Linked DNA regions of Notamacropus eugenii. Each later gene encodes a partner of the first gene's protein in a complex. Links are inferred from orthologs where the notes say so. Each region holds a gene or a part of one and is shown in the gene's direction. Other genes may lie near its edges.

Region 1 (16,121 bases):
CGACGGACCTTTTGCGAGAGGTTTGCAGGTCCCTCTGTGGGTGGAGGGACCCGCATGGCCACTGGAGATCCCGTCCCGTAGCCTGCTCGGATCTTTTCCTCTCGGTGTCGCGGCCGCTGCAGGGCTGCACTCAGCTCCCAGTCCCGGCGCCCAGTCCGCAGCGCGAAGGACCCCCGCGAGAGGTTTGCAGGTCTCTCCAGAACAGAAATCTCCCTCGCTCCAATATTCCGTGGCCTCTGGGTGCAGAATTCACCGTGAGTTGGTCCCCTCTAGCCGTTCTGTGGGTTGTGGGTTCGGAGCTATGTGTATGTGCGTCTTTCTACTCCGCTATCTTGGTTCCGCCCCCCCAAATCTCTTATTCAGCTATCAAGTAGCAAATGTCTTTTATTGTTTCATTCATGAGACATCCCGAGAAATTCAATTTCCCCAACCACCCATCAAAATCAAACAATGCAACTAAGGCTCAGGAGGAAAAAGGATTTGGAAGGGAAATAGTGGTGTTGGGGGTAAGTGATGGTATAAATATTACTTTCCCTCCTTTTTTCTTGCATGTAAATACTCCTTTTACATTTTAACTCTACATCAGAGAAGTTGCATAGATCCATCACATGAGAATCTGATCAAGGAAGAAAGGATTTTTAGCTAGAGAAGACTTGGGGTGATATCATAGCCATCCACAAGTATCTTAAGGAATGTCATCTGAAAGAGGGATCAGACTTGCTCTCCTTAGCCCTAGAAGTAAGAACAAGGGGAAATAAGTGAGCAGAAGTTGCAAACAGGTAAATATAGGATTGCTGTCAGGAAAGATTTCCTAACAATTAGGGCTATCCAAAAGTGGAATTATTATCTCAAGAGGAAATGGATTTCCCCTTCTTAGAAGCCTCTAAACAGAGCTTGGATGGCCACTTCTCAATTACATTACATTAGGGAATCTTTTTGTGTATGAGTTGGGCTACATGGCCTCTGACACATCCCTTCCAACTCTAAAATTCTGTGGTTCAGTAAAAAAGGCAGTAGTTTTATTTTTGGTCTTTGACTTGGCTTGAAAGGCCCCAGATCTGTACTGACCCTATTTACCCAGTTATGAAGTAGGCACTGTGGGTCTTAAGCTTAGCTCTTGTGCCTATGCTTGCATTCCTTAAGAATACAGTCTCCCTTAGCTCCTAACCCCAGCTGCTTGTAGGATAAAGCATGTGCCCCTTTCTCCAGCTATTATCTTGTTCCTTTCCCTTATAGATACCCTACAAGTCTCAGGAGGAATAAATCACCTAATGAAGCAGAGGACAGATTGAGAGGAACCCATTCCTGACTTGGAAGTAGTTGATGAGCCTATATGGGATGATGGATGATATGAAACACATTGCTTCTATTTATTAGACATAGCTCCCATCCTATTAATTAGCAAGAGAGGAGTGTGTTGATTTATGTCCCTGTCCAGCTGCCCAGAGCAAAGTAGAACTGAAGCCTACTTTCCCTCATTAGCCTAGGGATAACTGAATATGCCAGGCATAGGCCTAATATAGAGTTAATACTCATCACGCAATACAGCGAGAGATGAGAACTGTCCAACACTGTCCTGATGAACACTTCTTGCTTCAGAAAGCCTATAAAGGGTACAGTAAAGGGAAATAGGTAGACTTGACCTAGAACAGCACCTCCATGTTGTTATACACATTCAGTATTAGTGGCGCTCAGAGCATTCCTGAAAGTGAAAGAAGCTAAAGCCCAAGGACAGCCTCTGCCACTTAAAAGTGAGCAAGGACTGGATCACAGGGCTGGAAATTCCTATTTAGATCTTGTGTATCTTTCAGCAAATAATGCTAGCTTGGTAGTTCATATATACTTATTTCTAGCATTTTGTTTCTGTAGCTCCAATAGGATGGTCATCAGGTTAATACAACAAATACCAGTTCTATTTTACCTATGGTCAGGAACATGATTTTTGGTGATAAACTCGTTGTATTAAAAAGCATAACAATAAAATAATTTTTATTACCCTCCAAGTTTGTTACACAATGAAATATTTGTCAAGGACTCAGGTAGTATGCTTATTGACTTTGCAGATGGCACAAAGGTAGAAGGAAGAGTCAACACATTAGATGATAGAATTATGTTCCAAAAAGATCTTGAGAGGCAAGACTAATGAGAATCTTAAAAAATGAGCTGTGATAAATATAAAGTATTATGCAATTTGGGGAAGACAAGATTTAAGGGAAACATGCTAGCTGTTTTTGTATGAGTCTTCCATAAAAAGGGCTCTTTTATGGAAGAAGGACTAGGCCAGTTCATCACAAACGGCAGATATTGGAGCAATAGGTGGAAGTTGTAGAGACTAGAGTTTGGCTGGATTTAAGTGCATATTTTCTATCAACGAGAGCTACTCCAATGTGGAATAGGCTGACTTAAGGCGAATTATGCAATACTAGAAGTTTTTAAGCCAAGCTTGGATGGTCAAGATTATTAGTTAAAGACATTACAGATATATTTCCTATCCATTAATCAACTGTAGTAACTGATCTTGAGCCATGATGGTAAAGCATTCATGAGTGTCAGTAGTGTAGTAAAAAAAGTTCTGCATTTGGAGTTAGAGGACCTGGGTTCAAATCTTGTCTTTCCTGCTATCTATCTATCTGGCCTTGAGCAAGTCATTTAACCTTGTTGATCTTCTCATCTGCAAAATGTAGTTGTACTTAGATAACCTCTAAGGCCCCTTTGTAGACCAATATCTAGGAACCTGTGACCTCTGAGGTTCCTCTCTTTCAACTTTGAGATTACATGATTCAATATGACCCTCCCCTCACGAAATCCCTCTCTTTCTTCAAGTCACAGCTCAAGTACCACCTTCTATGTAAAGTCTTTCCTGATCCCCCAACCACTAGTAACTTCCCTTCCAACCTAAATTGTTAGTGTAGGTCAAGCCTAAAGCATATTCAAGGCTTCAAGGTGTAATAAGAAGCATAAAAACTATATTGAACACCACTTTACTAAATAAGAGAATAAAAGAAGCGATTTTAAAGGATATAATTTTTTGACTAAATTCTTTTTTTATTTATTTTTAGTTTTCAACATTCACTTCCATAAGGTTGAAATTTTCTCCCCTTACTTCCCCCTCCTTCCCCAAGACAGTATGAAATCTGATATACATTCTATACATACATAAAAGGATATAATGTTAAAACAATACTGAGATCCTCCTGAAGAATTGGCACAGGTAGGAAAACATTCTCCAGAAAGCAACAGGAGGCAAGCTGAAATTTCTAACACTAATTCTCTTGTGCTGGACCTTCTATATAATTAGGCAGCAAGAAAGCAAAATGACCTCTCTGCCCTTGCAGGACTGGGCTACATAGAAAAGATTTTTCTCCTACCACTTCCTACCCCTTAGTATCAAGTTCCCTAAAATTTTCTATGGGACCTTTCACCACAAAAATAATATTAAAACAACCTTAATATAAGCAGCAATGGAAGAGAAGCCCAATATATAAAATATTATAAAAACATAAAACAATGTAAAAAATCTTTAGAACATCAAGGAAGTAAAATCAGAGGAAATTCATAGAAACTTTTCTGGGATAAAACAGTCTTGTTAGATAGGAGCAGCACAAGAACATCCAGGGCCACGAAACAAATGAGAAACCTCTGAAGCTGAGAGATATGGATTATCTGAATTAAAATAGCTAAGTAGTTATTGGTCACTTGCATGCCACCTGTTCTGAGGCCCAAGTTGGTACCAGGTACCTGCCTGCTACCCATTCAGTGTTCCCAGGCCCACCAGCCAAAACTTCCCCTCCCTAGGAGCCCCACTGGGATAATGGCATGGTAGAAGGCACATCCTAATCCTGCCCTCATGAAAGTTAAGCTAATATTTTCTTAAAGGTATTGAGACTAACCTTTAGCCTTGGTTGGCTCAGAAGACTAAAGGATGAAATTGCTGATATCACTTCCTGGCTGCCTAAATATAAAACAGCTATGAAAAACTAGCTTCAGGTGCTCTGCAATTCTTGGTCCATGGAAAACTTTTAATGGACAATTCAGGCAAGGAAGCTTTGCTCAGGTGAATCAACTCAAGGGGTTCTCAATGTAGTCCTTATTGTATATCCTTCTACCATGGCTAAGCAAATCTCCTTTTGTTAACTGCCGGTTGATCTAAATTTTCATTCTCTTCCATTATAAAAATAAATGAGCAGCTTCTGTAAAGCCAATCATGGCAGCACACCTGAGGAATGCTGCTGTGAATGATCTTAAGGATCTAAGCATATAGTATAAAAACTCTCTGTTCAGCAATAAACTACACATTATTCAATAAAATATAACATTCATATCAACATCCTTAAACAAAACATATCATCTAATACATACATGTATCTCATAACATTCAGTATGTCATATGACGCATAGCATAAATCACTACATCCCCAAAGTGGAGGGTCACAGACTAGGGTCTTCCCTAGCACAATGCATCCTTAAGGGGATCAGACAATACCCCACCATCCACCCCTAGGTCACTGTAAGAACAATCTCCTTAATTTAATACATAGTGTCCAAGTAAAGTCCTTTCTCATCTTGACCTGAGGCTGACTTCCAAACACCATGGCTCCTCCTCTGTGGGCCAACCATTCTCAGTTTTTGCCTGGGTTCACATACAGGCAGCTCTCAACTCCTGTTCCTTGGCTCAGCTCATGGTGACTGTTCTACTCCAAACTCTTCCTGCTTTTGCCTAATGACAGGCTCCAGGGGCTCCTGCCCATAGCTTTTGTTACTAAGAAAACAAAGCTTAAGAGGGCTATAACAATATTTATAACACATTACCAATGTCCTCATCTCAATTCACTCATAAAGACCAATAGACAGGGATTCTGTCTGAGAAATCAACACAGATTAACAGACAGGGCTTCTGCCTCAGGAATTAACACAGACCAACAGACAGAGCACCAACATCACAAACATTCTTTCTGTTAGGTGTCCCCATTCCCCTAGCCCACTCATGGTCGTTTCTTTCTCTCAGCTCTGTTTCTCTCTCTGCTTCTCTTAGCTCTGCTTGTCTCTCCAAGCAATACAATGTATATTGTTTCCAATCAAAGATTCTTAATTGATTCAATGAAAGGTAAGACTCAGTCGAAGGCACTTGATTGGCAAACTCAATCTAGAAAAACTGCCAAGAATTCTACTTTGCTAGCCATTACAATGGCCTGAGTCTGAGCTAGCCCAGAACAGATAAAATTACATATAATACATGGTATTAGATGGTGCTTCTAATAATGGGATACCACCTTCCTTTATGAAAATTGGAAAAATTCCCTTCCACTGTCATCCAGGGACTTAAAATCACCTCCAAATGAGTCAAAGGGTCACTTTTCCTCTGTAACCCCACTTTTGCTCCAAGTTTTGGGTAATTTTCTTAGGGGCAGTCTTGTAAGACTGTATGGATGTGTGTGTGTGTGTGTGTATGTGTGTGTGTGTGTGTAGGGGCTAGCAGCAGAAAGCCATGACTCATTTGCTGAGCATAAAGCGGAGAAGGGATTTCTTTTAAGAGATTCCTGAGAGAAATGGAAAGGGAGATCCAGAAAGAATGTAAATTTTTGAATAGTAGACAGGAGATCTAAATAAAGATACCGACTGGCGGTAAAGCCAGACTTCAACAGGTCTTTTGATTTCTAGCACCAGCCCTAGAGAATGCTGAGTGGAATACCCCCTCCTAGCCCTCACTCCTCATTTTTCTCTTCCCTTAGTTGAAATGAGTTCGTATTTCAGTTCAGAAGAGCTCATTTATTCTACTCTACTACTTTAATCTAAATGAGCTGATTTCCATTTACTGATTACTTTGATAGAGGTCTAATAGCTATCTGTATTTGTATTTTCTATAACTATTATTTGGTGGGAGGGAGCTTAGCTGATGAGGGTGAGTTAAGTTTTATCCTACCCTTAAGAGGGACAAGGGGAAAAGTGCCTTTTGTTTTGAATGTTTAAAAGAGAGAACACTGACCCTTAGACTACAAATATTTGAGGTGTGCTGATACAATTGTGGGCACAGTGAATACAGTGTTGAGCCTGGAATCAGAAAGATGATTCTTCCTGTGGTCAAATCCAGCCTCAGACACTTACTACTTGTGTGACCCTGGGCAAGTCATCTAACCCTGCTTGCCTCGGTTTCCTTATCTGCAAAATGAGCTGGAAAATGAAATGGCAAACAACTCCAGTATATTTGACAAAAAATCCTAAATGGGGTCCTGAACAATTGGACATGACTGAACAACAACAGATATAATTGTAGCCTCAAATACCTATTGGGGATAGAAGAGCAAGAGTGATTGCCTGGTCATACCTTGACTAGATTCTCCCTGTGGTTCACAGGGCTTTTGGCAATGCAGTTCCAGACTGCCTCCAAGCCAGAGGTGGAAATCATAATCTCCATTTGCAGACATGGAATAGGGCTTTCCAGATCTCACCTCTGATATCTGTCTATATCATATGTGGACTAATTGTTTTATATTAGATCTACCCACGTCTATTACATATGAATTGGGAAAATAAGCCTAGAATCTAGGAACACCTCTAAGCTCACTGTGACGATGAAGAGAGTTTTTTCTCAAATTAGAAAAGAAAAAAATACTCCACATTTGGTCCCTCAAACCCTTTCTAAGAAGACATAGTCCAAAACATCTCAGGGAAAAGGAAATCTATCAGTTAAGGGAGACCTGAACCATTTCTTCAGGTTGCAGAGAATCTTCTGAGATGTCACAAATCTTAAGGTCCAGCTGACCCACACAAAAGATGGAGTAAGAATGGACTGGAGGGGGTCAACTGGCACTATATACAAAAGTAGTCTGTCTTGATCAGCTGAAGCCTAGATCTGAGAAAATATTAGAGTAGAGATCCCTCTTTCTCCTTAGGATTCTGCTGATTTATCAGAGACACAGCCTCTGGGAGAAAGGATGAACAATCCTGATAATCAGGGAGTGTGGTGATGAAATTGTATCAAAACTCCATTTCAAGGATCCATTTATATCAGCTCTTTTTGTGCTGCCCATCATTTGGCAAATGGCTGAAAAGGCTATGGCATATGGTTGTGATGGAATGCTATTGTGCTGTAAGAAATGATGAGCTTCAGAAAAACCTAGGAAGACATATGAATTGATGCAAAGTGAAGTGAGTAGAACTAGGAAAATACTGTACATAGTAGCAGCAACCTTATAACGTAGTCAGCTGTGAAAGACTTAGCTAGTCTGATCAACAACAGAATGATCCTAGACAATTCTAAAGGACTTCTGATGAAAAATCACCTTTTCACCTCCAGAGAGAGAACTGATGAATTCTGATTGCAGATTTGAAGTATACTATTTGCTTTCCGGTTTATGTGGAAATGTTTTGCGTGACTTCATATGTATAATAGGTATTAATTTCTTGATTTCTCAATGGATGAGGAACAGGTGGAGAGAAGGAAAGAATTTGAAACTGAAAAAAAATTTTTAAGTCTATGTCAGCACTCCATGATAAAAGCTGCTCCGGGTTGGAATCGAAGATGTAAAACTCATCAAATGGGATGATAACATAATACAAATATTTTCTGTGACTCCCTAGACTATAACTCCTTTTTCTTGCTACTCCCTTATGTGTGTTTTTTCCACCATTAGAAAGAATCTAAGCTTCCTGAGCATAGGGATGGTGTGCGTCATTCTACTTGTATTTCCAGCACTTTTGCTGTTTATCACATACCAATCGCTTTATCAATACTTTTTTTTGATTCATCTATTTATCAGAGAACCTTATGCGCCATTCATGAAGTACAGCTTGATGCTGGGGCAGGTTGAGCAGCAGCCCTGCCATCAGGCAGACAATCTGGCCCCAGACTCTTAGTGGGCATGCGACTCTGGGCAAGTCACAACCCTGTTGGTCTCAACTCCTCACCTACCACATGAGCGGAAGAAAATCCCCAAACCCCAATCTTCGCCAAGAGAACCCGACTGGGGTCACGAATCGGACAAGACCCAACGGGTCACTTCAATCCCTGCTACTCAGTTTCCTCCTCTTTAACATGAAGTAGAACAAGCCAGCTCAGCCAAGTCAAGCTCCTGGAAGGCGGGGGCTGTTCTGTTTCTGTCCTTGGGGTTCTCCACGCAGTGCCTGGCACCCAAGAAAAGCCTAATACATTTTAAAACTTAAACTAGTTGTTTTTTGCCCATGAGCGGGCAGCGCAGCAGGTGGAGAAGGAGGGGATGACTTGGAATCTCCGATCCGCCCTCCTTCGGTCCGTGCCCGCAGCCGCCCGTCTCTAAGCCTGGGCTCCTGGGAACGTCAAGGGCTTTCCAGTTCTAGATCTAGAACCTCGGGAAGAAGGTTAACAATGCGATTCCACCCACGGTTACTGTAGCTGGGGCGCTATTGTGTATACTGAAAATACAACAAAATACACGGACTCAGGTAGGAGTCGGACCGGGAGGGGACCGGAAGCAGGGCGACTGCTATTCTGGGGGACACGTGCGTCCCTAAAACTGCTCAAGTCGAGATCCAATCGGTTGAAGACGATACGGCCCCAGGGTGGCCTGGACCCCAAACGGGCGGGGCAGGAGACGCCTTTCCCGAGCGCTCGAGACAAACCGCCCCACCTGCTAGTGCCTTCACCCACTCCTTCTCTCCGGAAGGTAGAGAAAGGGAGGGCCCGGGGGGTGGGGCCAGAGGCGGGGCCTAAAGTGAGCGGCGCCAGCAGCGGGGCCGAAGCCACGCCCTTTCTACGTCGTCATTTCCAGCGACGCCCTCACGTCATCTACCGTCGTCACTTCCTGCCAGCGCCGGAGTGGACGGTGCTGGCGGCGCCCGGCTCGGCGCTCCCCTCTCCTTCTTTCCCTCCCTCCCTCCCTCCCTTCCTCCTCTTCCTCCTCCTTTTCCTCTCCCTTCCTCGGCGGCTAGAGCCCACCCCGCGCTGACCCCCCCCCCCCAACCACCCACCGGAGGCCGCTCCAGATCTCAGCGCCGCCGTCCAGCTTCCTGCCCTCCCCCTCCGCCCCAGCCCCTGTGTCGGAACCAGGCCCTTCCCGGAGCGGCCGGAGCCTTCGCCGCCCCTCGGGAGCAGCCTTCGGAGGACATCAGCGACCCCACGGCGCCTCCCTGCAGCCGTCCGCTGAGGAGGAGCCGTCCCCCCCGACCCGGCCGCCGCCGCCATGGCGATGAGGCAGACCCCGCTGACCTGCTCGGGGCACACGCGGCCTGTGGTGGATCTGGCCTTCAGTGGCATCACTCCCTACGGCTATTTCCTGATCAGCGCCTGCAAAGGTGAGCGAGGTCCCGGGCTCGGGTTGGCGCTCCTTGGCCTGGAGGCGGAAAGGAAGGAGACAGGCCGTGCGCCGGCTCCAGAGGCCTCCCCGTGCCCTTGCCCGCTTCCGGGGGACCCCGGGTTTGGCCGTGGCCCCATTTTGGGAGGCGGGCCCAGTTGCCGCCAGTCCAGATGCCCCGGCCTGGAAAGGCTGGAAATAGATTCCGAGGCTTGGGGGAGGGGTGCTGGTGTGGGGCCCTGCCAGGGAGGCCCTAGGGAGTGGGGGCTGTCCCGCTCGGTGGGGAACAGAGGAAGCCTGGAGGAGCCTCGTTTGCTGTGGGCACATGGCTAAGAATCGGCTAGGCAAACTACCTCAACTTTCTCGCCAAGTTACTTGGAACAAGTTTACAATTTGGGTTTTTTATTTTTTTTTATCTTTTATGATTTTGCCCCACTTAAAGATTACAACATGTCTATTAGTCATAGGCTAAGCTTTAGATCCTCAAAAGTCAAAGGCCTCCCCCCACTTTTTTTTTTGTATTGTAGTGTATTCACAAACTATTAAGGAAATATCGCATACATGATTTGTGGAGTCCAGGACGTAGAATCGAGGAGTCCACTTAGTGAATTTTCATACTAAAAGATGTATTAAAACTTAGGATCAAATATTTAACATTTCAGAATGGCCATAATTTTATCATAGGGGAGGACTCCTTTCATCCCAACTGGCAATAGTGAGCCCTTCCATGCTTCTCAAGAAATTTACCACCTGGGGTGGCCAACCTGATTTCTTAAGTGTGCTAATGGGCTATTAAAGGCCAGGTTAGATCTAGAGTAGACAAGTCCATGCTTTTACTGTTGTCATAATCTTGGAATGTGAAAGATTATCCCCACATCGGTAGGAGGTATTGGAGGAGAACATATGAAGAGTTGCCTCAATTTAAAATATATAGCATGAAAGCTTTTGGAAATTCTGTTTTGAAGTATAATTACCAATTTTATGTTGAATATTTTTTTCAACTTTAAAATACATTTTCAGCTGTTATCCAATTATGGTTGATAATTCTTTCTGTAATCATTTATGTTTTAAAATACTCAGTAGGTCCATATATAAATGCAAATACATTGTGATTTTTGGTTTTTTGCTGTCTTATACTTTTCATTTATTGCCTTAGGTTTTACATTTGAATTGGATGTAACAAATTAATAGTTAAGTTAATCATACCATTTATGTCTGTTTCATGATAAAAATCTTGTAATTTCTTTTTTTTTTTTTTTACAAGCTTTTGCTTTGAGAGTAGTTTTGAAGATTTGCTGGACTTCTCACATGACTTTACCTAGCTCTTTTATTTAATTGTGAGATTGGCAAATTATTTCCACAGTTACATTTTTTTTCCTTATGAGACCTCTTCCAGATAGAGGGCTCCCAGGTGAAGAACTTGTTTACTGGTGGAGATTTGGTGGCTTCTTTGTCCCAGAAAGTTGCCTGAGATGCTGAAGTGACTTGCCCAGAGACACCTAACTTCTCAGTTCCTCACACAGCTCTAAAATTAAATTATAGAGCAATTGTTTCTTCTCTGGCAGTTCATTATGTCAGTGTAATTATTGAGAACTTTTAACTCCCAAATTTTTAGGAATATAACACTGATTACTGAAACACTTATTAATCACTTTTTAAAAATTTGTTTAGATGGTAAGCCTATGCTACGCCAAGGAGATACAGGAGACTGGATTGGAACATTTTTGGGTCATAAGGGTGCTGTATGGGGTGCCACATTGAATAAAGATGCTACAAAAGCAGCTACAGCAGCTGCAGATTTTACAGCGTAAGTAAAGGCATGTTTTCTCCCTTTTAACTGTATACTTGTGAAATATGTTATGAAATATCCAAAACATTAACAAGCCATACTTTTTAATCATTCAGCAAAAATCATTGGGTCCTTTTATGTTCAAAGTACTGATATACAGTTGTAGAATTCATTGGTTCAAAAAATTTTATTTGTAAGGAAAGTGATTGGATCTGACTTTTTACTGTTTTAGAGTAGCAAGACTACTCACTTAAATGTCAACGATATAACAATGTGTTAAAGACAAAAATAGAAAGGTCCCTGCCTATAATTAGCTTAAATTTTACTAAGTAAGTAAATTATGTACACAGATAATTATAACTCAGTGCCAGAAACATTTAAGTGCTTACTCTATAGAAAGACAAAAAATCAAAGTCCCTACCTTCAAGGAGCTTTTTGTTCTATTGCAATGTTAAAACATGTACATAAGTAAACTGGAAGGAATTTTTAGAGGTAAAAAGTGTTCATAAGTTGTGATGTGGAGGTGGGGGGAGCCAGGTATCAGAAAAGGACTTGTGGAAGATTGTAGAACCTGAGCTTTGTTTAGCAGAAAGAGTTAATACAAATGAAGGAGTGAGTTTCAGATGTCAGAGGAGTGCAAAGTTTCAGAAGGGAGAAATGGAATAGCATGTGTGGGTATTATTAATTAGTATGATCAGAATAGAGGGTGTAAGAAGGACTGTAGTAGTAAATGAATCTGGAAAGGTGGAAGAAGCCAGATTCTGTAGGGCTTTAAATTCCAGCTTGGGGAGTTTATATTTTATCCTAAAAACAACAGGTAAGATTTCTCAGTAGGGCAGTGACTTGATCAGACAACTGAATCAACTTAGCTGTGAGAAAGATAAATTGGAAAGGGCAGAGAGACCAATTAAGAGGCTCTCACAGTAGTCTGGGTGAGGTAATGAGATGGCAATGAGAGACTGAGGGTAGAGAAAATGTGAGTACCAACCACAGGTGTAAGATGTTGCTAACCTTTGTTTTGAAAAAGATAGGCTGAGAGATGTTGCCATTATCTAATTCAACATAATTTTTAACTCATAAAGTTCAGTCTTTTTACTAGGAATTTTAAGTGTGTACATATAAACACAAACATACATACCCTAATATGTCTAGAATCTGATTTTGCTGTTGGAGTATATACAATTTGTCTCTAACTGAAATGTCATAGAAAAAATTACTTGAGACTGAGAGGTAGCTTGTGCTATGGTAACATAGCTGTTGTCAGGGACAGGATTTGAAACAAAAGTCCTCCAGGATAATCTGCCTCTAACATGTATGTGCCTCTAAACAACACACACATACATATACATATACACACATTTATACACATACACACTCAAATGGTTCAAATTTATGTAATTTGAAATCCTTAATTTTTTGGTAATAATTGACATAGTGTTATACGTAGGCATTTGAGGTTCACAACTCTGTAAATGTGACCCCCACATTACTTACATTTGCTCCCTTTCTATTATTTGATACTGTTAATCCCTCTTGAGCTTTAATGTTCTATTAGCTTCACTGTTACTATTCTCCCCTGATTGTTTTATTGTGTATGCTCCTCCCCTTGATCCTTATTGATTTCTTCTATCTCTGTGGCAGTCGAGCTTTGGTTTTATAAAGGAAATAGGAAAAGAATTTATTTTACATCCATCTTTGGTAGAAGAGCTCATTTGGTAAAGAATTGTTTTTCAGCAACCTAAATATGTATGATCAATAAGGTATTGTCTTTTAAACAAATTGTCAGTAAATTTGCTAATTGCAGAAACAGAAGTGTATACCTTGGCATATTGTGGTTATTTGTTACTGTCTGGTGAGGCTCACTGGACAAAAGTATGAGAACAACTTGTCTGAAGCTGTGTATACCTCCTTTTTTGGCTAGATTATATTAATTAACCTATATCTGCACACTGTGATGTCCTTGTCTGCTGTCAGTCAAGTTCAGATGATGTAGAGAGAAAAATTTTGTTCTGGTCGTGAAGAAAGCCCAATTCAGCTGTAAAATCCACAGAAGGATTTAGGTGCATAAATTTAACTTTATATTATCAGCTCTTGAGAGGTGTACTATGAGAGATGACAGTGTCAGTATGGGAGTGAAGGTATGAATGGAGAATATGGGGGCAAATATTCACAAAAAGTATTACAAATGCCAATCAGTGTTGGATTATTATCCTATAAGTTTCTGCTTTGAGAGTCAGTATATGACTCTCAATTTATTTGGTTAAATGATTATGTTGTGTTTCTGGTTCATCTAAAATAAGAGGATAAATATGTATGTTTTGAAACATGTTATTTGTCCTTCTCCTCTTCCTCCTCTGGATGTCAAGAGGACCTTGACATCAGGGAGGTGGTGCCATGTGTACGGGAATTGGATTTAAGTGAGGGAGGGCTGTGCAAAGTCACCAGCCTCACTTTCTCCTCCAGTGGCATCTGGGTGCAGTGGCCAGACACAGGTCAGGCCAACTGGAGATGGCTGCAGATGTGGTAAACCTTGGCCTTTTAAAGCTAAGGTTTTTAGCAGGTCTCAATTTGACCGAGACAAAGCCCATCAGTGACTAAAAGTAAAAAAAAAAAAAAAAAAAAAGAATTGAGGCCAAAAAATCAAATTGTGAGGAAAAGACCCTCAGGGTTTCTGACCAAAACAGAAACAATTCCTATTTACATTCACTTGGAGTCAGTTCTGGGCCAGAACAATGATCCAAGTGGAGTTTGACTTGGGACCTATCGTTGACCAAATCCATGAGAGCTTCTCTCAGTTTTTGAAACCTGTGTATGTTGTCATGAAAACCAGTTTGACATGGAAATTAAGCTGAATTTGGATTGTAAGAAAAATTTCTTTATACTTGTAGCATTTGGTGCACATTTATTGAGTTACTTGTCATCTTGTTACCCTACAGTTTTAGTACCTGTGAGACATTTGAGCCAAGTCTAGAAGCTAGATGTGTCTTATTTCAGGAAGTCTGTGTGAAACAGGGCAAGGAGAGTGGTTTTAATATAATCTGTTGTGCCTCTAAGTTTATGTAATTTTCAAAGTTAGACTGATTTTCCTAGAGTTGGGTGTGGATATTGATGGGGGAGAGGAGGGGATAAATGCAAGCTCACTTAACTGTTGAGGAATCAGATTGCTTTGCCAATATGGGAACTTTTCAAGGTTCTTTTATCTTTACTATGTTCATCACAAAAAGCAGTTGATGCTTGAGTATTTTAAAGAATAGTTTTTGGCTTTTGTTGTTGTTGAGAAAGCTTATTTGACAAACCAGTTTTTCAGGACAATTTAAAATGTATATTGAGTTGTGCCAAATGTTAGCTAAATCTGGTTGTCATGTAATGATTTCTGAGCACTCACTATGTGCCAGGCATTGTGCTAAGTGCTGGGATTAAAATGAATGGTAAAAGACAGTCTGTTCTCCCAGAGTGTTGAATGGGTGTGTGTGTGTGTCTGTGTGTGTGTGTGTGTGTGTGTGTGTCTGTGTGTCTGTGTGTGTCTGTGTCTGTGTGTGTGTGTGTGTCTGTGTGTGTGTGTCTGTGTGTGTGTCTGTGTGTGTGTGTGTGTTTAAGACATAGTCACACTTGTGCTTTAGTAAGGAAGATCAGTCTGACAGCTAACTAGAGGATGGACTGGAATGGGAGAGACTTGAGGCTGGGCCACCAACCCTAAACTTTTATAATAATAGTTCAGGTATGAGGTGATGAGAGTCATAGCAGAGAAAAAGCAGTGCCATATAGGAGAGATACATGAAGATAAAATTGACAAGACTTGGCAACAGATTGGATGTGGGGGAGGGGTAGGAGAGCTAGGAATTGAGGATGACACTTAAGTCGTAAGCCAGGGCAACTGGGAGTATTGTCTGCTCAACAGTTATAAGGAAATTAGGAAGAGGGGAAGCTTTAGGGAAAAAGATAATGAATTTAGTGTTGGACATGTTGAATTTAAGATGTCTATAGAACATCGTGTTCAAGATGTGTAATAAATAGGTGGTTGGGGAGGCTAGTCTGGTGAGGTAAGTATATATAAGATATCTGGCAAGATAAGTACATATGTGATAGTCAAATTCATGGAAACTGATGAAATCCCTAAGTGAAATAGTAAAGAGATCTACACTGATCTCTTTCCAGGCATGGAAAGACCTATCCTGATGCAGGCATGACCTGGACAAAGCATCAGCAAAGGAGATTGAGGGCTGGTCCGTCAGGTCAAAGGAGAACCAGGAGAGAGTAGTAATTGAAAATCTAGAGAGAAGAGAGTATCAATGAAAAGATGATGGATGTCAAAGGCTAACGATACTCTCCTTGAACATATAAAATGACTACAACGTATGCCACTTGTTTTATTTGTAACTTTTGCAGTTGGATTGTTAAATGGAGTGACAAGTATGTGAAGTAGTTTGCAGTGAGTGAAAAGCTAAGGGGACAGACAGACACATGCTTAGACTTAGTCACCAGCTCAAGTTGGTTTGTTTAAAGATAAAACATTCTTAAAGAACAACTTTCTTATAAGTTCCAAATGTTCCCCTCTCCCCTTCCCAGGAGGGCAAGCAATCTGATGTAGGTTATACACGTACAGTCATGTAAAACATTGCCACATTAGTCATGTTGTGAAAGAAGAAACAGAACAAAAGAAAAAAAAACACCAAAAAACCGTACCATATTGAAAATAGTATGCTTTGATCTGCATTCAGACTTCCATCAGTTCTTTCTCTGGATATGGATAACATTTTCTATATTGAGTCTTGGAATTGTGTTGGATCATTGTATTATTGAGAAGAGCTACGTCAGTCATAGTTGATCATCACACAGTGTTGGCTGTTATTGTGTACAGTGTTCTCCTGGTTCTGCTGTCTTCACTTGGCATCAGTTCATGTAAGTCTTTTCTAGGTTTTTCAGAAACCATCCTGATCATCATTTCTTATAGCATAGTAGTATTCCATTACATTCATGTACCACATCTTGTTTAGCCATTCCTCAGCTGATGGGCATCCTCTCAATTTCCAGTTCTTTGCCACCCCAAAAAGAGCTGCTATAAAAAT
Region 2 (14,988 bases), on another chromosome or scaffold:
TGTTCAATATTAGAAAAACTAAAAACAAAATAGACTAAATTAATAACAAGAACAAAAAAATCATGTGATTATTTCAACAGATAAGAAAAAGGGTTTTGACAAAATATAATATTCATTTGTTTTAAAAAAAACAGTAAAAACCATAGGAATAATATTTATCTAAAACCAAGAGTCAGCATTACATATAGTAGGGGAAAACTAGAGGCTTTCCAATAAGATCATAAGTGAAACAAAGCTATCCATTGTTACCACTGCTATTTAGTGTAGTGCTACAAATGCTAGCTATTGAAATAAGATAATAAAACAAGACAAGAGGGACAAGTATGGACGCAGAGAAAATGAAATTACCACTTTTTGCTTTTTTGTTTACTTAAAGAATATAGAGAATCAACTAAAAATTAATTGAAACAGATTAACTTCAGCAGAGTTACAGGATACATAATAAATTACCATAAAACATCAACATTTCTGTATGTTACTGATAAAATTCAAATAAAAGACATATGTATAAAATATTTAGGAGTCTGCCTCCTAAGACGCACAGAAACTATATGAATACAAGTACAAAACACTCTTTACACCAGGGATTCTAGACCTGTGGTCTGTGATTTTTTTCAATATTTTGGTAAATTTGTTTCCTTTATAATACTATATGTTTTGTTTTGTGCATTCAAAAACATCCTGAAAAGGAATCCATTGGCATCACCAGTCTGCAAATATTCATTATTCATGGACAGGTCAAGCCACTATAATAAACATGACAGTACTACCAATCAAACTACCAAAGGATTGCTTCGTAGAGCTAAAAAATAATTTATAAATTTATCTGGAGGAACCTCAAAAATCTCAAGGGAAATATGAAAAAAAAATGAGAAAGCTTAGCAGTACAGATTTCAAACTATACTGCAAAATAGTAATAAACCAAATGATCTGGCACTGGTTTAAAAATCACATAAATCAGAGGAAGAAGGAAGAAATTTATTTTCATATCTATGAAAAGGGAAAGAGTTCACAATGAAACAAGGATAGAATCATGGAGGTGGAGGGAAATTAACAATTTTCTATTAACATAAAGGTAAAACATTTTTAGATAAAAACAATATTGTCAAAATAAGAAGGTAAAAAGTTAACTGGGGGAAAATGTAGAAAATTTATCTAGTAATGGTATCATTTCTAAGATATAATTGATTTAAATTTATCTAAAACTAAGAGCCACTGCCTAAATGATTAATAGTCAAAGGTTACGAACACATAGAATACAAGCCATCAACGACCATGTGAAAATGTTCCAGATCACAATTAGGGAATTATTATAACTGCAAATTAAAACAATTCTAAGGAGCCACCTTAGTCATCAGATTAGTAAAGGTGACAAAAAAGGAAAACTACATATGTCCGGGAAACTACATATGCAGGGGAAACAGGAATTCACATTAACATACCATTGGAGGAGCTATGAATTTGTATAGTCATTCTAAAAAGAAAGTTCGAACTATGTCCAAAAAGTCAATACAGTGTAGATAACCTTTGATCCAATGATACAACTACTATCCAAAAGACATCAAAAAAGCGGGAATTTTCTCATATTTCTCATATGTATACAAATATTTGTATCAGCTTTTTTTGTAGTGGCAAAGAACAGGAAACTGGGAGAGTATCCATTAAATGACAGAGGATTGATCCAGTTATATGGGTGTATTTGGATTATTTTGTCACCCTCATTCTAATGAGTAAATTTTTGATTATTCCTAGTTTTACTTTCTCGTTTACCAAATGTTTCATGTTTAAGAGTCAATGACTGATTTTGTATAAATGACAAACACAATGGTAGATGCTCAGTTATAGAGGCACACAGTAGGAGTATCATGGAAACATGTACGCATATACATATCCCTAGGATACTGACAAAGTTTGAGTAGGTAAGGCACTGCCACCCACTCTAGGGACACCACCTGCCAGAGAGAGAGAGAGACAGAGAGAGACAGACAGAGAGACAGAGAGAGAGAGAGAGAGAATGAGAGAGAGAGGTGGGCATATCTATGTATACACACACACACACACACACACACACACATATAAAACACTATTGTGCTTTAAGAAATGATGAGCAAGATAGTTTCAGAAAAACCTGGGAAGACATAGGAAGTGGTACAAAGTCAAGTTATCAGAACCAGGAGAATAATTTATACAGTAATAACATCCTAAAGGACAAACAACTTTGAAAGACTCAGATCAACACAATGGAATCAACCAGAGCTACAGAGGACTCATGAAGAAACTACTAGATAACTACTACTCTACTTCTAGATAAAGAGATGATATTCTCAGAGTACAAACTGAAGTGTATTTTTTTTTGACATGGCTAACGTGGGAATGTACTTTGCTTAACTATATCTATTTGTAACAAGCTTTGTTTTTCTTGCTTTCTTAATGAGTGAGAAAGAAATTTTGGAATGAATAATAAAATGAATAATAACTAATAATTTTATACATAATATTGTATATATTTATCTTTAGTATCAATAATTTACATTATTATAATTTGTATATATACTTATATTTTTATAAAATAACAACCAATAATATGGAACTAATAATAAACTTAATTATTAATTAATTAATAAACTTTAATAAAATTAAAAATGAATTTTAAAAAATTTAAAATAAAATATTCTAGTACAGTCCTCTCAATTTATAGCTAAGGAAACTGAGGCTTTGAAATAATAAGTGCCTTGTCCATAGTCCAATCATGTTCTGACTCAAAGTCCAGGGCACTTTCTACTATAGCAAATGATACATTCCAAGGCCATTTTAGAATTTTTCCTCATGTTCCTCTTTCAAATCTAATTAGACTAGGCTACTAGACATTTATTAATAATACTGATGATATTGTAAAGGACATGAAGCCTTGAGATGCATTCACAGATTGTAAAGGCTGTGTCCCTTTCAGACTTTGGCCAGTGTAAAATTTTTAAGAAGCATAAAAAATGTTACTTAAGCAACCCAAGAGAGTGCTGACCCTTGAATGAAGCCCAAGAACATAGGAGACATCTGGTGATTAGCTAAGAGAGTCAGTCACAGTTGTTGGACCATTATAAAAAATAAAGTTGGACCGCTCTGAAGAAAAACAAGAGCTCAGAAAAGCTAGCAATAGAGATGAGAGATAGCTCTGAGGAAAGAATTCAACTGTTGAGATATTGCATTTAACTTTTGCCTTGCACCTCCTCCAGAGTGCAGAGAAAGGGGAGAGAATTTCTTCCTCTCTCTCCATCACTGGCAATGGTATCTTGCAGCTGAGCAACTTGCCTAGTAGGAATTTCCATGCCCAGCAGAAGACAGAGAGTCCAGCTGTGGAGTCAAGTTGGTCTGTGGAAAAGAGCAGACCAGGGAGTCCAGCAGAATGGCCTGTCCACCAGAGATAGTCTATGCAGGATGACAGCGTAAAATGAGAAGGTAATAAGGAGGACCCTGAAGTGCCTGGAGTGGGAGTTGTCTTGGCTACATGTGTTGCTGCTTATGTATATTCCTTTCTGCTTATGAACTCTGTCCACTTTTCTAAGTAAATCTGCCTATATTTGTGGGAGAGTTTGATCCAGGTCTATGGAATAAATATTTTGTTACTACTTTCATGCTGTGCCATTTCAGCAAATGTCTTTAGCTTTGAGCTAATTACGTCAACTGAATAGCCATGAATAGGAGGGCCCATGAAGAATAGTTTTAGAAGTTCAGACCTACAAGGTTCTGTGATTTAGGGATAGTCACCTCCAGAAGCCCTAATCCAAAAGTAAGCTTGTGGTAAGGGAATGGGGTAGCACAAAGTGAGTATTACACTCATAATACTATTTCCATTGGCAAAGGATCTATGATGTCATCAACCTGAGAACTCTCCCAATGCACAAATTGCAACTTCTTGATACTTTGGTGGTTTCAGAAGTTGCTGTAGCCACGAAATGCATCATTTTTTGGTGTTGAGACTTTCTAATCTTTCTAATATTAGGTTGTTCTTCAGATTCAGAAAGCCCCCACCCTCCAGGAAAGATTGTACTTAGGGTGAAACTGTCCTCTTTCCCTTCATTATTCTCCATTCTCCCCACAGACTGCACATCAGCCTATCAACTGCATTTCCCTCATGCAGTTCCAGCTAGCATAGTTCTGGCTAGTTAGAAGGATAGGTTTTCATTTAGCATCCATAGACAACAGCCATCAATCAATGGTAGTACTGGAATCAGTGAGAGACAAACAGCAATGATCTCCAATAACTGTTCAACCAGTCAGCCATACTCAACGTCCCCAAAAGCCTTACTCTTGGTAGCCATTTGTCGTCATTGCCTTGCAAGACACATTTCACCAAAGGTCTGGGTACTCATACAAGCATACAATAAAATTCTTTCATTAGCCTTAAGGTCATTTACAATAGCCCATAAAAGCAAACCATCATCAGTTGTCTTTCTGAATTTTGTAAAATGAATTTATCACCCCTCTGTAATACACTACTGATATAATATATTTATGTCTTCTCTCAATATTAGAATCAAAATCATGTCAAATTTTCAGAATTGCTAATTCATTTAAATAAATTGTTACTTACCTTTTTGAAAAATAATTCATTATTATGGTTTGGGAACACAAGCGCTCTATTCTGACCATTTTTTTCTTTTTCCTGTGAACCATATGTTTTCCCACATATTGCATGAATTCCATTGTTAGTTCAATAGCCATTGTATATTGCAGTTAGTCTTGTAAATAGATATTCCTCTTTACTTTTTCCTAGTTTCCAGTGAGAGAAAAAAAAGGAAAAAATATGCTAATATATTATTCAGTGCTAAAAAAAAAATGCACTTACAAAATGTCAAGAAAAAAATATCACGACCGAATCTTGCACTGCTTGACTGTCAAAAAGTTTAAGACTTTGTCTCCTTTATTTCTTCTTTTTCAGATTTATGCTGACAAATTATCCATGGAAATTCTGCTAGGTTTCTTGTAGTTAGGCAGGGTCTCTCTACAGTGCTCAACTGCCTAGTTAACAGCTCATAAGTACTATTTCATCATCTCTCAGTGAAAGGGCTAATGATTACATCCTGGTTCTAGAGACAAGTTTTTGCCAGCTAAATCCATTGTAAAACAAACAAAAGCCTTGCAAAACAAAGGCCAATATTTGTTCAGGAAGTCTCAAAGTTATAGTACTTCTGTAACACCCTTTCTCTGCTAATTCTCCCAATTCACACTAGACAGCAGTTTAGGTTCCCCAGAAGGCAATGAATTTACTCCCCTCAGGATTCTAGGAGTGACCTTGAGGGGCTAGGATTTGTAATACTGTCGCCCATGAGCCCCCATCCACTGTGCCCCCCAGTATCTACCAATCAATTGGTATCAATTCCTCTATAATGGGAAGATATAGCAAAGACAGAAGTTACAAAGCAATTCCCCAATTCCAAAGCAAACTCTCCTCTCTGCATAGTCCTTGAAGAGAATGTGCTCAAGTTTAGATCACAAAGGTGTGAAGCACACAGGTAGGGAACAAGTGGGATCCAGAGGTACCTTACAAGTACAGTTATCCCTTCCACATCATTGGCATTAGGGGAACAGTGCCACTCCCCCAGATCTGGAAAATAAGTGTAAAAGTTTTTGGCCCTCTCATTGTAAAAGAGAAGAAGTCTGAATTATTATGGTATTAAAAAATAAAATATGTTGATACACAATACTATACATATATTTTATGCATCTCTGAGTTTCTAAACTTTTTCTGTGTTGTCTGCCAGCCTTCACGTGTCATCTGTGGCTTCCACAAAATTCCCCAATATTTCCCATTTAATTTCTTATGCCAACCTGTTATATATCTAAACCAAGCTGGAGAAAGCCATAATGTGGAAGTACTGGTGTGAGCAATCCTTTTCTCCTCTCTGAGTCCCCAACAGGTTTGCTTCTGGGCATTGTATCATTGATAGATGAGTCAGTCCCTTGCTCATTTAGGCTGATTCCTTGCCAGCATGGTTTGCCGACTGACATGTCAGTCCATTGCTGGATTGGGCCAAACAGCTGCTATGCTTGATTCTTACCAGACTTGGCCACCACTGCTGACGAAGTGATATGGCTCTGGTTGCTGGCAAGAACTCTTTGATGGCTCTCTGAACACAGTGATTGCCTGGAGATTCACTTCTAAGAATACTAGTAAGTAATAATAAAAACAAAGTAGGAAAGAGAAAGGTTTGTATTCAAGGACATGTGGTGGCTGGGCAGAAAGACAGGGTGGCATCTACTGCTACTGCCTCTCCCACCCCCACTCCCCCAATGGCTCACAGCAATTCTTGAATCAGTCCCCTAATCACTAGGCTCCACAACTTGAATGGAAATAGAACCAACAAGGAAGAGTAAATTCAAGCATGCCTTAAGGATTGGGCCCTCATTGGCCAGTCTTCCCACAAAAACTTCCATTGGATTACAAAATATTCAAGAACTGAGTCCCTTAGGCTATTACAGATTTTTAAAACTCTTGCAAACTCAACTTTTACTGAGTTCTGAAAAACAAAATTCGAAAAAAATTAGACAAAAAAATTAGAAAATTTCTTATGCAAAGTAGATACTGTTAGTATGATACAAACAGCATAAATGGTGGTGGGAAGCTGAGAAGTATCTTAAGTCTGTCCCCATGTGTCTGTATACGGTTATGCTGTGCCTCTCTCCCTGTGTTCAATAGTGATCCTTACACTTTCACCATGACTGGTAACAAATGCGGTCAGTCTTAAGGGGGAAAAGTGAACCATTTCATAAGCGCAAGCAAATAGATTTGGAAAGGAAAATGAAAATAATTATAAAATATGGAGGCCAAAATTGTCATCAATAGTATGTAAACTTAGTCTTGCAGTGTCAACTATAAACACCATAGTGAAAGATGATGCCCAAATAAAGCACTGCAAAAGGCAAAGGGTTGCATGAAGTTGACTTATCTATCAAAACAAAGAGAAGATGCTATTCTAGAGATAGAGAAACTATTCACTATGTGCATAGAAGACCAGAATCAGAATATTCCTTTGAGTCTGGTGAAATTCAAGCCAAGGCTCAAAACCTCTTTGAAGATTTAAAAGTAAAGTACCATAAAAGAACACAGGCATTTATAGCAAGCAGATGGTTTGTATGATTTAAAAATCTTGCATGACTTCATAATGTACAAGTGTCAGGAGAGACTGCTAGTGCAAATATTGAAGCAGCAAAGAAGTTTCCAGATTTCCTGCAAAAAATAATAGATGATGATCCCTACTTGCTCAAGCAAATCTTTAATGTAGACCTGGCCGGCACAACCCCACAAGCCTGCCAAACGATTCTGGGTGCCTGTGAAATGTAGCCTCTACATTTTTTGCAGGCCACCCACAATCCTTTGGCAGGCCATAGGTTGTGCAGGCCTAGTATAGATGAAACTGGCCTATTGTATCAAATATCTCAAATCTACATCTTGGTGGAGGGAAAAAACTATATTGGAGCATAAAACTTCAAAAAACAGAGTTACTCTTCTGCTTGGAGGGCACATATCTGGGACTTGCAAATTAAAACCTGCTCTTGTACATACATCTCTTGGAAAATCCCAGATCATTGAAAGGAATCAGCACAGCCACACTACCTGTGCGTTATTTTGCTAACCCTATGGCATGGATAACCTTTATCATCTTTGAATGAGGATTTATGCGCTGCTTCACTCCCGAAGTGGAGAAGTTTTATAATAATAATGGCATTCTTTTCAACATTCTACTTATTTTGGATAATGTCCCAGGTCATCCTCCCTATCTAGATGATTTTAATGAAAATGTTAAATGGTCTGCCTTCCCCCTAACACTACCTATTTCAAGTTATGGATCAGGGAGTGATTGTAAATTTCAAGGCATACTGTTTACACATTCATTTGCCCAGGCAACTGAAGCTTTGAATGCAGATAAGCACTTCATATTGAGAGATTTCTGGAAGTCCTATAATATTTACCATGCAACCTGAAATACTGCTAAGGAATGATAAGATATAACAGAAACATGTATGAAGAGTTTTTTTAAAAAGTATGACTAATTTATTCCTGATTTTCATGAATTTGACAAAGATGAAACACTGTAATAAGTGAGTAACAATATTGTAAAATTAGCACAAGAATTGGAGCTAGAAGCAGATGAGAAACATGTGGAGGAGTTGATTGAATCTTATAGGGAAGAAATATTGAATGTAGATTTGATTGAGCTGCTAGCTGCAAAGAATGCAGAAGAGGAAGGGGAAGCTTCAGAACTAAGGTAAAACCAAAAAGATTCACAATGAAACAGCTTGCTGAAGTATTTCATAATTTGAGTGAATTTTTTTTCTTGCTTTGCAAAGATGGAGCCAAATACTTTGAGATTTTTAAGTTCAAAGACTAGTTGAAGATAATATTGCTTATAACCGTCAAACATACAAGGAAAAGAAAAGAGCCACTGACTAAACATCTCTCAATAATTTTATTTTTAAAAAGTTGTACAGCCAACTGGAAGGGGCAACATACTGTATACCTATATTAATTTTACTGTATAGTGCTGTACACACTTTATCATTAACTTTTCCTGTCATTTCATTGCTCTTCATTATCATGGCACTGTATTTATTATGTCTACATTTTAGTATATTTTATGACTTGCATAAAGGTATTACTTTGTAGGAGGTATCTAGACCTCAGTGGACAGAATACTAGACTTGGAGTCAGGTATATCTGAATTACTAGCTGTGTGACCCTAAGCAAGTCACTTAACCTCTGTTTGCCTTGGAGGCAGCTAAGTGGCTCAATGGATAGAGCACTGGGCCTGGAGTCAGGAAGACCTGAAGTCATAGGCTGTCTCAGAAACTCACTAGCTAAGTGAACCTAGGTGAATCACTTAACCTCTGTCTGCCTTCATCCACTCAAGAAGGAAATGGCAAACCATTCCAGTATCTTTGCCAAGAAAAACCCATATGTAGTCATGACAAATCAGATATGATTAAACAGCAACAAATTATTTTGTATATGCCTCTGCTATATAGGCTGGGGAGGGGGGGAATTCGCATTACATAAAAATCACTTTACACAGAGGTCCACGGAATGATCTATTTCTGTAAAGTGAGAACTGTCTGTATTTAGAATTTTTAAAAAACTAGGGAACCCTGAATTCTACATTAAGGAAACAGCCATTTCCTGGTAACAGCCTAGCTTATAGAGATGAAGATGTAAGAAATGTACCGAATAGTCACATTAAGTTTCTTACCAAGAGTTCTCAATTATGTATAAAGGAGAAGTAAATCTCAAATTCACTAGTTTGCCAAGAATACCCTGCTTTTCCACCTCCTGCTGAGTGACAGCAAATCAAAACTAAGGCTCCAGGGAAGAAGCACTGGAAAAACCTCTGTCAGTTCTAGGGAAAAGGTCCATGTTCTTTCTGAAAGACCAAGACAGTACTAAACAAGGACTATCTAGAGCTGAGTCTAGAGACAGAGAAAGGGATTCTGAGAAAAGACTCATGATAATAGGAAGATGGGATTTTAGCCAGGACTTGAAGGAAGCCAGGGAAATCAGAAGGCAGAAATGAGGAGGGAGGGAATTCTAGGCATGAGGGACAGCAAGTGAAAATGCATCAAGCTGGGAGCTGTAGTGTCTCTTGAAAGTAACACCATGGAGGTCCATCTCATGGTATCATAGAATGTGTGGAGGGGAGTGAGATATAAGAAGCCTGGAAAAGTAAGAAGGGGCCAGGTTCTAAAAGGCTTTAAAAATCAAACGTATTTTTGATACTGGAGTTAACAGGGAGCCACTGTAGCTTATTGGATGATGACATGGTTAGACAATTTGACAGAGGAGCAGAAGAGAGACTGGAATGAACAGAGACAAGAAGACTATTCTGAGTGTGAAATGATAAGGACCTGCCCAGGGTATTGGCAGTGTCACAGAAGTGGGCCTATACAAAAGATAGTGCAAAGGTAAAATCAACAAGGCTTGGCAACTGAAGGGATGTGGGGGAAAGGGGGGGAGACAGTGAGGAATTAAGCATATTATGTTAGGTCACATGATTTCCTACAATATCAGTTTTGAACTATCCTTTTCATTTACTCATATTATTTCAGAACTAAAATCTATTTTGCAAAAAAAAAAAAAAAAAAGGATGTGTGAATGTAAGCTTGAATCCCAGAACCCAATGGTATGGGACTCTCTCCTCATTGTGGAGATCAATACCCTGAGAATACATGAGGGGACAGTTGTAGACAGGGGAGAAAAAAGAGATCTTCAGTCTCTTCCTACTTGTAGCTTCCAGTGTAGAGAGAGAAGCCACGTGAGGAACTCTCCTAGGGACCATGAAAGAAGAAAGACTCTGGCAAGAAGGTGACATATAGAACTTTGATCCAATGGGAGAGTTCCTTCAGTCTGTGTTATTGAAGTATCTTTTCTCATATGTATACCTTCTCTGGTTTATATTTTCTATCAGCTCAAAAGGTGGGTTTTTATTTTTGTTTGTTTTTGTTTTGTATATTCCTTATGGAACTGGTATTTGCTGGGAAAAGGGTCAAGTCTTGGATATTAAACTTGGGGTCCTTCTTTCACCATTAATGAATAGCAATTAGGAATTTAGCTTGAACCTAAAAATTCCATTTCCTAGGCTAATAATATTTAATATAAGTCTAGCCTGGTATTCCCTCACTCTAAGAACATCAGAGCAGTCAGGCTCTGTTCCTCTAACCTCCTGCTTCCCCCCCTGGCAAGAAATGAAATCTCCCTTGGAGAAGGGCCTTTGGAGATGTATCTATTCTATCTTCCCTGTGAACCAAATCAAGTCAGCCTCATTACATAAATCTTTCTGAAAGAATTCACTTGAATAAAAATATTTTGTTTGGGAGCACACAGAATTTTTAACAAGTCTTTTCACTAACTAAGGTAGTTAGGATCACCACATTTGTACCTTAACAGCATTGTCCTGATATATGTTGACAGAGGAAGAGGAAATAGCATAGAAGAATGCAAAGGTGGGAAAAAAAATCCATACAACATGAAGGAAAGTAAAACATAACTTTATTAAAGCTGTTCTTGCCCTTCAGCATGTGAATTACTTCAAATAATAGGCTATGAAATTATCAAGGAACCCAGGAAACCCTCAAGTACTCTAAAAAAAAAAACCACGTTGCTTTTTCAGCAGTACTAAAGTCACCATGCATGTATGTCATTTCAATACTCAACAGATTTGTGGTTACAATGGTGTAGGTATACTTTCTTCACCACTGAAACCCTCTTACAAGTTAATATTCTATCTTCAAAAATTGCTATGGCCCACAAATTCATCACTACTCACCAACCTAGTAATTGCCATAAATTTAGCTTGGCTGGACTTCAAACAAGAAATACAGTCTGTCAGGTGAGTCTTTTCAGTTTAGTAGGACCCACCTGAACATGTATTACACTGAAATAATTAATAATAACTATCAAAATAGTATAAATTATAATATAACACCTACTATGTGTCAGGCTTAGTGTTGAATGCTTTACAAATATTATCTCATTTGATATTCACACAATAACCCTGTGAGGTAAATGTTATTATCATCCCTGATTTCAGTTGAGGAAACTGAGACAGAGTGGTTGAGTGACTTGCCTAATGTCACATAGCTAGTGAACATCTGAGGCTAGATTTGAATTCAAGTCTCCCAGACTCCAGGTACTATAATAATACCTAATTTATATAGTTCTTACTATGTGCCAGACACTTTATAATGACTGTCTCACTTGATCCTCACAACAACCCTGGGAGGTAGGTGCTATTATTATCCCCATTTTACAGATGAGGAAACTGAGGCAAACAAACTCTTGTCAGAGTCACACAGCTATTGTATCTGAAGTAAGATTAGAACTCAGATCTTCTAACTCTAGGCTTGGTACTGTATCCCAGTTCTATCTAGCTGCCCCAGAAAAGCTTTTAAGACCTGGGCCTTTCTACATACATCTCCATACAACAATAAAGCACCAGGCTAGGATGTTACTATACCATTTCCCCACATAAAATAAGCATAATAGTTCTTTCTCTTCCCCCTTTTAAGTTTCAGTCTTAACTTCAATTCCAGCACCCTTGTCTTCCATGAGAATTCCCAGAAATGCCCATGTACTAAGACTACAGTTCTAGACCTGGAGGAACTTTCTAGTCTAATCCCCTCATTTTACATGTGGCCCACTGTATGTATTGTTAATATATTTTTGCTTAATTTGAAGATCTTTCCCATCCATTAATAAGTCCATGTGACTTGTTTATATCACATAGAAGCCTAATCACATGTGGTAGGAGGAGCTTGCTGAACAGGTGGGACAGGAAGGCTAGAGCAGAACTGGGTGGAAGTGGGTAGGAGAGGTTAGGTTTGAGAGAGGACACAGCCAAGTAGACCACTAGGATTGTAAGTGTTTGCTTGTGGGAAGGCTTGGGAATGGAATTGTCCCCTGCAGGGATAATGTGTATCAACTTCTTGGTTACTACGATGGATTTGGCTTTCTGGTGTTTGAATAAATGTTTTTCTTCTGCTTTCTATATGGAGAGTCTATTATATTTTGCAATTTAGATCTACACCAGCATATCCATAGTTGCCATCTGTGCCTTGGCGATACACTGCCAATAATAATACATTTCCTGTGTCAGAAATGCATCAGTAGTTTTATGTGCAATGTATCACATAGAGCACCATGGTCATCCCTAATCTGGGAGCTCTGGGCTTATACATATCTGGATTCATTGGGGGAAGGAGTTGGGGTGGAAGGGCATATTTTTGCTCTTTCTTCCTCTATACCTGCAGCTCAGAATAATCCCAGAAAAATATTTAAAACAAATTTTAGTACTGTTCATGTCTAGGTTCTCTCTAGAAAAGGTACTCAATGTACAATAGAGATACCAAGTATAAGATGGTATTTATTTCTTCCATCACAGAAAATGCTTAAGATACAAAGGACTCAAAGGTACACATGAAAAAATACAAAATATGTAATCCATTCAATTAGTCCATTATATGCATTATTCTCCCCCAGAAAGAAAAACAATTTTGCTTTGAAGCAGATATTATACTTTCACCTCAGACTTGTATGGTTCAAGCAACTCACAAGTTTTAGGTACAATGGCCAGCCAGGACATGACTTCAATTTGCACTAGCCCTTCACGGAAGAATGGTGCTGGCAATACCCATTTTCTATTAATTGAAGCTCTCCTCTGATCAGCTGATACCTGAATCTCAAACTCAGGGACTCCATCCAAGGGGTAGCTTGAAACATAGGCCGGAAACCTCCATTTCTCAGGATTGCAAGTTGCTAATTCATGCTTGGGGAGGAAAAATAGCAAAGCAAAAAAAAAAAAAAATTCACTGAAGCAAAACAGTGGAAAGAGCACTGGTTCTGGAGTTAGAAAATCTGGGTTCAAATCCTGACCTTGTACAAGTCAAGTATTTAACTTCCCTCAGCTTCAGTTTCCTTTATTTGTCAAATGAAGGGGTTACAATAAAAGGCTTCTGAGGTCTACTCTACAACTATGATCCTTTTAACTTTGGCTCAGCTAATTCAATACATGTTTTTATGGCCATATCCTTGTAACTACCACTGCAACCTGCGGTGGAGAGAGATCTTCCCTCTCTGTTCCTTATTGCAAATCCAGGGGAGGGAAAGAATCACACCAGAGAAGAGCACAAAAAAGTGAGGCCAACTATTTCCACAGCCTTACAATATAACCAAAGTCTATCCTCTGAACTCTTGAAGTCCAGTTGTTGTTGACAACAACCCCCAAGTTCTCTATAGACAGTATGTCCTTTGAGTCTGACAACAATCTCCTCAGCTTCATGGCAGGTGCTAATAGATCCAATCAGGGGTTCCTATGAGTACCGTGCCAACACACATACACACACTCTTCACATGAGGTAACTGAGGAGGCTCTGGGATCATCACACTCATCGCAAGGTGCCAGGGCACTTCCTCCATCAGCATCTAGACTGAAGTCTAGGCAAGAAGTTTCAGTTCCTCCAGAAACCAACAGGGTGGAGACCAGTAAGGCGAAGCCCTGCAGCACCTCTGCCAAGAAAACCCCAATGGGGTCAGCACGGAATCACTGACGTCATTTGAGTCTGTAACCCCTCTTTCTGGGTGACAGCAGAGTGGCCAAACTCCGGTACCAACGTCCTGCTTCCCCTCCTGGCAGGACTTAGTCTCCCCAGGAGAAAAGCGGGCAGCGGAGACTGGAGATGGCTGCTCCGGCCTCGCCGGGAACACAGCCAACCTCCACCCTGCGTTTTCAGGTCACGATGAGAGGCCCCAAGGATGGTAAAGAACGTAAGCCGCAGGCCTCAGACTCTATCAGAACACAGCGACACGTGAGGTTATCCAGGAACAGGAAACTACGTCAGCCCACTCTTACGGAAGGGGAAAGGGAAAGAAGGGGGAAGGGAGGAAGCTGGCACGAGCTATTCTATGCGCATGCTCTGGGGCCTGCCCGTGGCGCATGTGCAGAGGGGAGCTTGCCCGGCCTGGTCCCACGGCTCACCTCGACCGCACCGCCTGGGTGGAGGCGCTATGGAATCGGCGGTGGAGGAGCTGATGCCCCGCCTCTTACCTGTGGAACCCTGCGACTTGGAGGAAGACTTCGACCCCTCCGTGCCACCTCGGACGCCCCAGGAATACCTGAAAAGGGTCCAGTGAGTGGCTTGGCTCGGAGCGTCCGGCCTCAAACACGTCCCCCTTCCCCCACTCAGGCCTGCGGCGTGGGTGGAGTCGCCCTAGCGCCCCCTCCCCCTCCCTCGCCGACGTGGCCGAGGCGGGGCGCCCGGGGGGCGGAGGGGGGAGAGAAGGGGGGAGCGCCGCGTCCTAACCCGGGGGGCGCCACGTCCCACCTAGGGGGCGCCTCCTTCCCGAGCCCGGAAGCCGCCGCCTGGGGTGGCTGGGGGGCGCGCTCGTCCCGGGGGTGGAGCACCTCGGTTGCTGCGGGGGCTGGGTGCGCTGCTGAGCGAACTTCC

Evidence for each region.
Region 2: STRAP (region 1) and GEMIN2 share a complex: the UniProt entries of both Homo sapiens proteins name them as parts of the SMN-Sm complex. The link is inferred for Notamacropus eugenii from reciprocal best matches to the Homo sapiens genes STRAP and GEMIN2.

What each region holds. Positions count from the first base shown.
Region 1 is NC_092874.1:190,182,949-190,199,069, reverse strand, and holds the start of STRAP (serine-threonine kinase receptor-associated protein), read left to right. Parts: upstream 1-8,742; 5' UTR 8,743-9,155; coding exon 9,156-9,267; intron 9,268-10,937; coding exon 10,938-11,073; intron 11,074-16,121. UniProt on the Homo sapiens protein: The SMN complex catalyzes the assembly of small nuclear ribonucleoproteins (snRNPs), the building blocks of the spliceosome, and thereby plays an important role in the splicing of cellular pre-mRNAs.
Region 2 is NC_092872.1:331,893,346-331,908,333, forward strand, and holds the start of GEMIN2 (gem-associated protein 2), read left to right. Parts: upstream 1-8,329; 5' UTR 8,330-14,446; coding exon 14,447-14,670; exon of another isoform or gene 14,671-14,713; intron 14,714-14,988. UniProt on the Homo sapiens protein: The SMN complex catalyzes the assembly of small nuclear ribonucleoproteins (snRNPs), the building blocks of the spliceosome, and thereby plays an important role in the splicing of cellular pre-mRNAs.